3 linked regions of the Arabidopsis thaliana genome follow. The protein of the gene in region 1 interacts with the protein of each later gene in a pairwise test. Each region holds a gene or a part of one and is shown in the gene's direction. Other genes may lie near its edges.

The links.
Region 2: the proteins of INO (region 1) and IDD14 interact in binary tests that used the Arabidopsis thaliana proteins (3 or more experiments, as listed by UniProt).
Region 3: the proteins of INO (region 1) and ERF4 interact in binary tests that used the Arabidopsis thaliana proteins (3 or more experiments, as listed by UniProt).

What each region holds. Positions count from the first base shown.
Region 1 is NC_003070.9:8,315,734-8,320,024, forward strand, and holds INO (Plant-specific transcription factor YABBY family protein), read left to right. Parts: upstream 1-1,563; 5' UTR 1,564-1,596; coding exon 1,597-1,791; intron 1,792-1,888; coding exon 1,889-2,026; intron 2,027-2,127; coding exon 2,128-2,278; intron 2,279-2,371; coding exon 2,372-2,420; intron 2,421-2,539; coding exon 2,540-2,615; intron 2,616-2,751; coding exon 2,752-2,850; intron 2,851-3,290; coding exon 3,291-3,371; 3' UTR 3,372-3,758; downstream 3,759-4,291. UniProt on the Arabidopsis thaliana protein: Essential for the formation and the abaxial-adaxial asymmetric growth of the ovule outer integument.
Region 2 is NC_003070.9:25,530,021-25,535,241, forward strand, and holds IDD14 (indeterminate(ID)-domain 14), read left to right. Parts: upstream 1-1,987; 5' UTR 1,988-2,463; coding exon 2,464-2,614; exon of another isoform or gene 2,615-2,715; coding exon 2,716-3,118; intron 3,119-3,591; coding exon 3,592-4,297; 3' UTR 4,298-4,658; downstream 4,659-5,221. UniProt on the Arabidopsis thaliana protein: Transcription factor regulating starch metabolism by binding directly to the promoter of QQS. The IDD14beta isoform attenuates the transcription factor activity by competitively forming heterodimers with reduced DNA-binding capacity.
Region 3 is NC_003074.8:5,119,707-5,123,125, forward strand, and holds ERF4 (ethylene responsive element binding factor 4), read left to right. Parts: upstream 1-1,715; 5' UTR 1,716-1,765; coding exon 1,766-2,434; 3' UTR 2,435-2,856; downstream 2,857-3,419.

The sequences.
Region 1 (4,291 bases):
GTTGTTGGCTCTGATAACTTGTTTGCTAAGATAAGTTTAAATTCTCTCAGATATTGATTATGTGTTTGACATTAACGTGCGTTTGTCTTTGCACATTTTATCGTCATTTCACAGCTTCTATTTATGTTAACAGTGAGATTTGACCAATCTATAAGCTGTCATGTAAAAGTTTGAGACTAGAAATGAGATGTATATCAGTATATATGGAGTAAAAGACTGTTAAACCAGAAGCCATAACTATGATTACAATGTATAATTTTAACCTCTAATCTCTCAAATCACAAATGTGTACCTCCTACTCAATTACTCATCAATAGGCTTATGAAAATGGATCGAAACTTATTAATGGGTCGGTAAATTATGTGATCTCTCAAAATGGGTCGAAACTTGTTCACTCCGGGGTTGGGTCATTGCATTGGATTCCACCCACACAAAAATTACAAATGTGTAGGAAATTGAGTAAATATTAGTATTATGTTTAGTCTTTTTCTTGTGGTTGAACACAAAATAGGAGATGAGAGTAAGTGAGAGAGAGAGAAAGCAATAAAGAGAGGGACAGTAGAAATAACATGACACAGAGAGAAAGCACTGAAACTTGAAGAAATAGAGAGAGAGAGAGAGAGAAGAGTTTGGGTAAAATGGTCAAGAAACAGTTAGCAAAAATGTGAGAGAAGAAAGACAAAATCCTAAGATTCCGAGTTACTAAAAGTGATGAGTCTCCTAGAAACACCCGCACTAGTCTCAACTCACTGCACTTTCATTTTCAGTCTCACTTCAACCAAAACTCCAAAAGACTGTTGAGTTTTGTGAGAGATTCATTAAATCCCATTTAAAGAGACAACTACACATGAGACAAAGAGGCATTTCTTTCTCAACCTCACTTGTTTTTTTCTTTCTTTCTAACTTGCAAACCAAACCACACCACCACATCACATCATTTATTAACCCCAGCTCTCTTCGATGTCTATCTATCTCCTCTTGTGCAACGTGCCTTTCCATTTTCACATGTTCATTTTTAATACTCATACTCTTTACCATCGATTTTTATCTCTTGTTATTTTTTTGTTTAACCTAGTGTTATCTTACAATAACACATATTATCTTGTATGCTTATTTATCAGAAAAATCCTGAAATGGTTTTTGAAGGGAGCTTATATATTTTCTGTTTATAGGTTATTAAGTGTTTTAAATTGTTTTGACAACAAAAAATGTCTCCTCTAATGGTAAACGCTCAAACGTTATGTATCATTTGTCATATATATTTTGTGAGTGTGACATAACATAAAAATCTTATAACAATGCTTTTGTATAACGAAAATTCTTAATTAAACTCCATCATCAACAAAAGTATTATATACATCATTTTATTTTATTTTATTTTAGAGAAGAAAATGTAGTTTGAATATTAAGGAGTTAGGAATGTGATTAATAGAAAGAATGAGAATCATTTACTGCTTACAGCTCATAGAGACTATGAAGATTCCAATTATTACAAGTGAGATAGAGACGTACATAAGTTGAATTGTATTGTGCATTTTAGCATATAACCAAAGCATTCCACATGAAAGATATAAATATAATTACATATTTGCATTAATGAATATTAACAAAACCTATCTCTCTGTCTATATATACACACACACACACACACATATATCTCCTATCATTCATCGTACACACACACTCTCTATGACAAAGCTCCCCAACATGACGACAACACTCAACCATCTATTTGATCTGCCGGGGCAGATTTGCCATGTCCAGTGTGGTTTTTGCACCACTATTTTGCTGGTATACCTTAACTTCTTCTCTTATTCTCTCCCTTCCTTTCTCCCTTCCTCTCTTTATATATATGATCATGAGTTTAATGAGTGTAAATGTGTTGCAGGTGAGTGTACCGTTTACAAGCTTGTCAATGGTGGTGACTGTGAGATGTGGGCATTGCACAAGCCTTCTCTCTGTCAATTTGATGAAGGCTTCCTTCATTCCTCTCCATCTCCTTGCTTCTCTCTCCCATCTTGATGAGGTTTCCATAACATCTATACATAGACAAACACACACCATCTAAATATGACCAATATATATATATATATACTTACTTTTGATTATATGTAAATATATGTGCAGACCGGGAAAGAGGAGGTTGCAGCTACAGATGGTGTGGAAGAAGAAGCATGGAAGGTGAATCAGGAGAAGGAGAACAGTCCAACGACTTTGGTTTCATCTTCAGACAATGAAGATGAAGATGTGTCTCGTGTTTACCAAGTTGTCAATAAACGTACGTTTGAGTATAAATTCAACTTAAACTTTAGTTTTGCGATTTCTCCTTTCATCAGTCGTCTAATTATGTTTTGAGTTTGTATATATATAGCACCTGAGAAGCGACAAAGAGCTCCTTCAGCTTACAATTGCTTCATCAAGTAAGAAATAAATTCAACACATTACATGTGTATGTATATTATATATATTCTTACAAATTTAACCACTTAAGGTTTTGAGTTTGTAAAATGGTTCTTCTTTGGGGGTTGTATTGGAGCAGGGAAGAGATCAGGAGGTTAAAGGCTCAGAATCCAAGCATGGCTCACAAGGAAGCTTTCAGCTTAGCTGCCAAAAATGTACTTAAGCTTAATTAGTCTTAAGATTTAAAAGAAAACCCTAATATAGTTTTCATCTTTTTGTTAGCTTAATTGACAGATCGAGTTAGCTAATAACATTTTATGATTTCAATTTTTTGATTTGGGGATGGCGAAGTGGGCCCATTTTCCTCCAGCTCACAACAAGAGAGCTGCTTCAGATCAATGTTTTTGTGAGGAAGATAACAATGCGATACTACCATGCAATGTTTTTGAGGTAATCCTCAGCAACCATTTATATTTTTTAATCACTTTCGCTTCAAAATCAATTACCATATTCTTGACAAGTAAACTCCACAACAAGTGTCATTTTCCAAAGCAAACCAAATAATTAAAGCATTAACTAGATCCAAATAGCATCGCTCTCAGTCAAAATTTCAGAACCCTAGCTAGACTAATTATATAAAGAGAAATCATTTACTAATTATTAGAGTGAAAGCAAGGAGAAGGGTAAGTGAGATTGTGAGAATATATCATTGATCTTCAACTACTACAATGTGTGAAATTTATGACCTAAACCCTTTTATAGTATTGAAGCTTACACTGCACACAGTTTACTTTTATAGAAACCCATTCAACTAATTTAAAACATTGAAGCTGAATATGTATAGTTTTCAATTAATATACCAAATAATTGTTGAAATGTTTGTGATGCAGGACCATGAAGAAAGCAATAATGGGTTCCGAGAGAGAAAGGCTCAGAGGCATTCCATTTGGGGAAAATCTCCATTTGAGTAATAACAATTTGGGATATGAAAATTTAACAAAAAAATAAATAATGGCGTATGACATGTGATGGTGACTCTTTTCTTCTAGGGTTTGATTATGTTGGTTTAGGGTTTCTGTTGTTGGAGAGAGATAGAGAGAAGAAGAATCTGAAACGGAAGTAGGATTTGTGTGTGTTCGAGAAGAGTCCTTGGGAATGAGCGAGTTTGTTCAGTAATTTCGTAGTACTTGTCAACTTTGAACTTAATTTGAAGAGACATGCATTGACTCTATAAAAAAAATTCTACTTTTGCATTCATGACTACTCTTATTCCATGAATGTTTTAACATTCCATGAAACAGTACTTTAGTAAGAATCTTTGTTAACCTATCATAATAAAGATCCTTCTTGACTTCGCGCGCTCAATGCTTTTGTACGTACGATGGAGAAAAACACTTACTAAAAAAAAAACACTTTTTGTTTTGACATTTGACCTTTCTAAGTTACTTTTTTTTTTTGTCGTCTGAAAATTTATTATAGAGATTCCGGTGAAATACAAAAGTGAAATATAAAGCCGGCGGTTAACAAGTAACACCAGAAAACTAAGCCGACGATTAAAAGGATAGTCTTGGAAGCAAAACCCAAAGGAAAGGGAGACAACAAGGCAAAACAAACCTTACAAACAAAGCAAAGTTGCGAAACTGAAACAAAGAAGCAGACCAAAACAACCAAAATTTTAAACACAACATCTCGTCAACCACATTACCAGACAAAGGAAAGGCAGAGCTTTACAACAAGCCACTCCGTAGGAGACAAGGAACTCCCAACCAAACGGACAGCGGTGCCACCTATTACGATGAAGACTACCTTACATAGAAGAGTTCCAAGGAATCCATACCGGCGAGAAGAACTAGGCCAAAGACGACAAGTCACACCTACACTCCCGGAATCG
Region 2 (5,221 bases), about 17 Mb from region 1:
TTATTTTAGCGATTTTGTTCTTGATATTGAATTGTGTATATATATCAACAAAACGAATTGAAGTGTTGTTTTGGACGAGTGTATATATATCTACTTTATTAAAGAAAATTGTTTGTAGAAGACAACATCACCTGCAATGCTTTATAATTCTAGTGTTCTTGTTTTTCTTTTACAGGGATTAATTTCCAAAACTTTTCTTTCGTTCGCCAGTTTAGTTTCTTTTATTTGGAATTTTGTATTTTACTTTGGTTCCTATAGGCTACGCGTAACATTGGCACATACTACTTTTTCATGTATGTAAGTAATTTCTGTAAAAGGCTACATTAAAGTCAATACTCTCCGTTTTGGGTTTCAGTGAAATCTAAAAAATGTCAATTTTACTTTTGAAGTTGCAACTTTCAGATAGCAACAAGAGCGAACGAGACAAATGCCTCAGGTTTCAGTGTACAGCTCCACTAAATGGTTTTCGGGTGCTATTATTTGTTTCATATAAATACATAAATACTACTCCATTTTTTCTAATTTAATGAGTAGTATTAACAAAAAAAAGAGTTATAGATAATGCTAAGTCTAAAGACCGGGGTAAATTCAAGGTAATACAAGTCAACAACTAAAAAAAACTAATTAAGGTAGTGAATTGAGTTCACGCAATTAAATAAACTAGTTAAACGAGTAATTTGGACGAGGGTGAAGTTGCTACATGATCATAGTGGAGTTTAATTTACAAAAGAATAGGATAACAAAACTATATATATATATATATATATAACGTAGTGTCAAATAAATTAATTAGTGTGTTATTTTCAAATATACCCATAAAATCCTTTTATTTTCTAAAGAAAACACAAAATAAATAATCGAATTTAAGTATGATTTTTATCCATTATTTTTGCCAAATAGAGGGTTCTTTACTGCATATATTCCTTAAATAAAGGAAAGAGGTGACTATTATCCTAATTTCTTAAGTAAGAATGCGATTGTGAAAGTTTTGATATATCCAACTTTACAAAAAAAGAAAAAAAAGCATTGCATGTGATGAGAATCCATCTCCCCCATCCTCCCACCCATTCTTTCCAACTCAACCATCTCCTTTCTCTTCCTATTAATAAAGTATCATCTTCTTTTTGTTTCTCTTTTTATTTTTTAATGAAAAATAAAACTTTTAAAAAAATTTGTATTTACTTCAATTTTCTTACAGTTCCACTTGGATAGACAAATGCCCTTTAATGAGATGGTGGTGGACTTTAAGTATATGTTATACGCACAACACACACACACACACACACTTTTATAGACATGTTTTTTAATAAAGAAAATTCTTTCGAACATATTCCAGATCTCTAATTTTTCTTTTGTTTGAGATGTTATATAGAATTGGTCTCAGCTGACACTCAAAAACCAGATCTGACTCTAGGGTTTTGTGTTTGTTTTTTGTTTTTCTTGTAAGAAAAACTATATATTGGAAATTTTCTGATTCGTCTCACTTGTGGGCACAGTATTCATATTTGATTAAAACCTATTTCTTATATAAAAAGGCATGAGATGATGGCACCACATTGTATATTTGTATATATACGGAAACATAAATTGGGTATATGCATGTGTCTTATATTCAAAACAAATATTCTCAAGTCCCTTCCCTTTTTAATTTACACCAGCCCTATAGCTAAAGGCTACACATATATACATTTGTCACCATTAAAAAACATGTACTGTTAAACATCAAATTTCCAAGATTCCGTTTATATTTTTCACCTATCCTTTTTTTTATTTATCTTTGAAAAACAAAACTTACTCACTCTGATCGAATATTTTATGATATGAAATAATAATGACTTGTAATTGTTGTGTAGTGGAAGGGGATGTTTTTTTGTTTCTTGTCCTGATGCTAATGTGGGCTCCAAGCTCCTTGTCCCACTCTCTTTATATGTATAAACATCTCTCTCCATAGATATGTTTTGTGTTTGTAAACAAACAGTGTACAGATAGAGAAGAGAGAGGTTCATAACTACTCTGAAGAAGATTGAAGCACCAAAGACCATACAATGCATTTCTCCATCTAAGGTGAGAGGTCAATGAAACAATTAACAAAAAGTTGAAAGTTTCATTTATTTTTTTCTTTTCCAAGAAAATTATAAAAAGTTGGATAGTAAAAGGGAACAGAAAAGCTATTATCCCTTTATGTGAGAAAAAAAATAAAGATGATTTCAGAAAAACAAAGCCCTTTGTTTCTCTCTCTTAACTCATCTTATACTTTCTTCTTCTATTAGTAAAGATGAGTACTCTCTCTACCAAATAAATAAGGAAACATAAAAAACAATCTCTCCTTCTTTCTCTACATGAAAAACAAAAGATTCCTCAATTTTGTTCTTATTTTTCATTTAGTCACAGTACCTCTCTCACTATAAACCACACTGTCTTGAGATAAAATACAAAAAGAGAAGAGATTAAAAACCTCATCCGATGATAGACTACGAGAGAAGCAATACCACCAAGAACATCAACACCCATCATCACAACCCTCCTCCATCTTCATCTTCCTCTGATCTTCTTCCCGACGGTAATGGAACCGCCGTGACTCAGAAGCGGAAACGGAGACCCGCCGGGACACCGGGTATTTAACAATTTTCTTATCAAGAATTACTAGTTGTTAGATTCTATATCCGGAAAGTTATCAAATAGTTCTGTTAAAGATTTTGATTTATCCGGTGGCAGATCCGGAGGCGGAGGTGGTATCTTTATCACCAAGAACGTTACTAGAATCGGATCGGTACGTATGTGAGATCTGTAACCAAGGGTTTCAAAGGGACCAGAATCTACAGATGCATAGAAGACGACATAAAGTTCCATGGAAGCTTCTTAAAAGAGAGACCAACGAGGAAGTGAGGAAAAGAGTCTACGTCTGTCCGGAGCCGACATGTCTCCACCACAACCCTTGCCACGCGCTCGGAGATCTCGTGGGAATCAAGAAACACTTCCGACGGAAACATAGTAACCACAAGCAATGGATCTGCGAGCGATGCTCAAAAGGCTACGCAGTTCAATCTGATTACAAAGCTCATCTCAAAACCTGTGGCACTCGCGGCCACTCCTGTGACTGCGGCCGAGTTTTTTCCAGGTTCCATTCCTTAGTAACAAACCCTAGCTTTTTAATTTTTATTTTTATTATATATTTAGGATATATATTTATCGGAATCCTTAAAGTAAATCAAAGAATGTTTTTTCTAGTATGGCGTGTCCATGTTTTGATTTTTAGATAACGCACATAGATCTTGAAACAACGTTTACTAATGGAACCTGATGAGGTTTGTTTGGATGTACTGTTGTCTGAAAATACTTTTAATTAATTTAATAATTAGGAACTATGTTTTGATTACTCACGTTGACCCCATAATAGATTTCATTATCAAACTTTGTTAAGTATATACCATACTAAACCTCGAAGTCTTGCATATCTCATACTCAAATATATAATCCAAAAGATACCTAACTCCACTAACTTAATTATTTATATTATCTGTCACGAGATACAAATATTCCTTTGTGCTTTCCATTTTAGTTTAACTTATATAATACACTCTTATTTCTCAGAGTGGAAAGTTTCATAGAGCACCAAGACACTTGCACCGTACGCCGATCCCAACCCTCCAACCACCGTTTACATGAGCAGCAACAACATACCACAAACGCTACACAAACCGCTTCAACCGCGGAAAACAACGAGAACGGGGACCTCTCCATTGGTCCTATATTGCCTGGACATCCTTTACAAAGAAGACAATCCCCACCGTCGGAACAACAACCATCCACTTTGCTCTATCCCTTCGTTACTAATGGTAGTATCGAGCTTCAGCTACTTCCATCGAGGAATTGTGCTGATGAGACCAGCCTTAGTCTGTCTATAGGGACAATGGATCAAAAGACAATGTCGGAAGTTGAGAAGAAGAGCTACGAGAAGGGAGAAACGAGCCTAGAAAGAGAGGAGGCGAGAAGAGAAACAAAGAGGCAGATCGAAATCGCGGAATTGGAGTTTGCTGAAGCCAAGAGAATAAGGCAACATGCGAGAGCTGAGCTTCACAAAGCTCATCTTTTTAGAGAAGAAGCAAGTAGGAGGATTAGTGCAACGATGATGCAAATAACTTGCCACAATTGCAAGCAACATTTTCAAGCTCCGGCTGCTTTGGTTCCTCCTCCTCCTCAGACGCATTGTACCGATGAGAGCACGTCTCTGGCCGTGAGCTACATGTCTTCGGCGACTACCGAAGGAGAAAAGGCGAGTGATAGAGCATCTTCATAGACCTTGAAGAGAGAACACAAAAGAAAACAAATATTCTTCTTTTTTTTCTTTGATTGGAATTAAAGATCATCTTTTGATATTCGTTGGTTTTCTTACATATTCTTGGTTTGTGGGTTACCAGGTTTGGGTATTCACTGGGGGTTTGATTTTTTTTCTCTCAAACAAAAACCAAAGAAGAGAATAGTTTTTGTTGTATGAATTGTCTTGGGTCTGTTGGTTAACGTAATGTAATGAACGGGTTATAATTCTCAAGCATTCGTTAATTAGTTAGCTACAGAAATGTTGTTTTTCCATAGAGATAACTGATCTTAATTTTCAGTTTGGTTTGAGACTTTGAGTGTTTTGGATTTTATAGTTGAACTATTGTGACTTAAAAGTATTACCAATTCCTATTGTTCACACGAATATCTGCATTTTTCTTTTCTTTTCAGTCAATTATTTGCATTAAATGCAAGGGATAATAATTAGGTCAAATCGTGAGTCAAATTCTCAGGTAGAAACTAGAAACAATTCGCTCCATATCCCACGTCCGTGTAGACTGTAGTTTGAAATCGTCTAATTGAATGGTAAAATATTAAAATCTAATTCGATTAATTGTAGATTTTATTTGGATTTTGTGGGTTTTTGGTCTCAATGTGACCAAACAAGAAATCATATATTTTTACGTGAAGACAAAATCTCATGAGATATCTTTTGACCCTTATAGTTTGATGTGTTTTTCAAACACATAATAATAATATTTTTTTTAATGAATTTGAATTCATTAATAAAGTATGAGAGAGTTTGTAGAATATACCACCAAAAAAAAGATATTTAAAAAAAAAAACAAGAAAGAGCTAATGCAACAACAAACTGATTTGGTTTTCTCGATTAAACTTTAGGTTTATAGAAGAAAAAAAACCAATTTTGATCTCTGTGGACTTT
Region 3 (3,419 bases), on another chromosome or scaffold:
TTTAGGAAACAAAGAACAAAACAAACGGCGGGCCCACCGCCGTTAGAATCTCTCTCGGTTAGCCGACGCGGCCACCATTCTCTCTCTCTCTTCATCCATTCTCCACGCGTCGCGTTGACCACGTGGCACTATACATCTTTAAAACTCTTTCTATTTTATTTAAATAGCGAGTGCGTTGTGGGCCATCTTTGTTTTTCTTTGGCGGAGGGGCGGCTAAATAGCCTTTTGTTTTTATTTTAGTTTTATTCCGCGAAAGAAAAAGCAGTCAAACTCCAAGTTGAATTTGGAGCTGAGTCTACGAAGTCACGCATAACGCTCTTTCTTTCACGCGATCGCCGTCGGCACGTGTTTGGCGGTGAGATTCACGCTCGTACATGGAAACGCGGTTCCCAAGCCGCGCGTCCTCAAGGTGTTGCCACGTATTTTACATTTTTGCGTCATCCAATACTGTTCTTTGGTTTCTTCTTCTCTCTTCTTTTCAGGCGCCGCTGCTTAACTTATTTCCTAGTTTTTGAAGTTACTCTTGTCTTTAACTCACACTGCCATATAGTATGACTTTATTTACCTGTATTTTCAAATTTTTACACACATAACAGTATCTTTAGTTGTTTATTGGTCTTACAAAAAATTGGGTATTTTTTAAACCAAAAGTTTTGAGATACGAAAACAAAATTGATATGATCTGAAAAATTAGTTACTCACATATTTGTTCAAGTTTTTTTCTCAATTATGCAAGCATTAAGGTTGATCCAACAGGTTATGAGAAAACAAACTGAGTTCATTACAAGTGTACTCACTAGAGCAAGCTTGTGTAGTTATATCCTAAATCATGAGGGTAAATGGCACATGACAATTCGTAGTTAGATTAACTATATATATTAAATTAAGATGTGGGATTACATTCTTAATTCCCTCGGTTATGAAAATCAAAATCTTATCACCAGCATTCAAGGGAATACGCTGTGTAGACAAAACAGCAAACAACATGCATCTCCATTAAATGCGTCAAATACTGTACGGATTTCTTTAGTTTTTTTGTTACAAATTGTATCAAAAGTTTGTTAGTACATTGTACATACAGATAACAAATGAATTTCACTTTTTAGATAAAATAGTTTACACAAAAAAAAAAAAAAAAGACTTTGCATCCAATATTTTCCACCACAAAATAAATCATTCAAAATACGGATTGATTAAATATGTATCATAGTAAGATCTATATTTCAAAATTTATCCTTATTTCATTAAGAACTTTAATGCAAAGATTACATAGTCCAATTAATTTTCTCATTGCCAAATATTAATAATTAAATTAAAGATCCAGTGATAAAAAGTTTTATTTTAAAATTAAAGTCAATCAAATTAATGTATTTAATTTGTATCTATATTTTTGACAATGTATTCAACTTTTTAAATACATCAATAAATTCATTAATAAGATGATCAACAAAAATTGAAAACGCTTGGTGAGGTTAAAAAAGAAATGAAGGGTTGATAAGAAAAACAAAATTCTTTGAAAGAGGAAAGAAAAACACGTGGCAAAAGATAAGTGGAGGTAAAAAAGAAAACCATGAAAACCGCTGGTGTTTTGTAAGAGAAGCCGCTAAAACCATTTCAGGCTTTGACTGTTCACAACAAAGCGCCCCAAAAGGAGCGTCGCTTTTACTCTCTCTCCCATCCTATATATAAACAACTCTCTCCTTTCCTCTTCTCCCTTCAATTATCTATCACACCACCACTCTCTCTCTAATCTATCTATCCGAGAATGGCCAAGATGGGCTTGAAACCCGACCCGGCTACTACTAACCAGACCCACAATAATGCCAAGGAGATTCGTTACAGAGGCGTTAGGAAGCGTCCTTGGGGCCGTTATGCCGCCGAGATCCGAGATCCGGGCAAGAAAACCCGCGTCTGGCTTGGCACTTTCGATACGGCTGAAGAGGCGGCGCGTGCTTACGATACGGCGGCGCGTGATTTTCGTGGTGCTAAGGCTAAGACCAATTTCCCAACTTTTCTCGAGCTGAGTGACCAGAAGGTCCCTACCGGTTTCGCGCGTAGCCCTAGCCAGAGCAGCACGCTCGACTGTGCTTCTCCTCCGACGTTAGTTGTGCCTTCAGCGACGGCTGGGAATGTTCCCCCGCAGCTCGAGCTTAGTCTCGGCGGAGGAGGCGGCGGCTCGTGTTATCAGATCCCGATGTCGCGTCCTGTCTACTTTTTGGACCTGATGGGGATCGGTAACGTAGGTCGTGGTCAGCCTCCTCCTGTGACATCGGCGTTTAGATCGCCGGTGGTGCATGTTGCGACGAAGATGGCTTGTGGTGCCCAAAGCGACTCTGATTCGTCATCGGTCGTTGATTTCGAAGGTGGGATGGAGAAGAGATCTCAGCTGTTAGATCTAGATCTTAATTTGCCTCCTCCATCGGAACAGGCCTGAGCTTTTAACGGTGTCGTTTCAATTCGAAGCGCATGCGTTTCTTCTTCTTTTTGAGCTGTGAAAATTCGTTTTCTCATAGTTTTTCCTCTCTCTCTCTCTCAGTCTAAATTTATTACCAGTTTTTAGAAAGAAAAAACAGATTAAATCTGAGAGAGAAAAATATAATTTTAGCTGACATGGATCGTTATGTACATATTATTACATAACCGGAGATCTGAACTTTTGTTGTGTGCTTTTAATTTTTTGCGACTTGGTTTCACCCCATGTTGTTTCTCTATTTTTTTTACTACTTTTTTTTTTTTTGTTCTTCCAAATTTTCAATCAATAATTTGGTAATCTTCAGAATTATCTTGTCCAATCCAATTTCCGAAATTTTGATTATTACTACTTGTGGGTTGTGGCGGCTCCTTCTATTGGCTTTCCTTTTCTATCGTTACCACCAAATTAAAAAAATTGAAGGGACTAAAATTACTTATTTGACAAAACAAAATAATTGTAAGTTGAAGTATAAGAAAAACTAAAATTCAAAGTGAGATTAATAAAATGGTAGTTGAGTATCGTCGGCTTTTAACAATGGTCCAAGTTTCCAGCAGACACGCAGCCGGCGTGTGTGGGCCCTCGTTTTGCTCTCTGCGGCGTAAGTTAGAAAATTCTTTGCGCTTACGTCACTTAGTAGTAGGGTCCACTCACAGAGTACGGACATACTCATTTCTTTTCTTTCTAGCTAACTTGGAAGAGTCTTGAAGCTGAGAGTTAACACTCTTTAGGTCTGACAGAGAGAACCTAGATTTTTAATTTGATAGATTCTTAAATTTGGAAAAGAAACTGCCACAAAACAAAGATAAGATTTTGTTCAATTTTTTTTAAGAAAGATCTCTAGTTTCGTAAACAAATTTTTGTCGGCAAAAAATGGAAAAAGAGTACACAAAGTCTCTAAAGAAACAACTATGACTAGTCTAGATATTGGTTTTTTTTATCTGAAAGC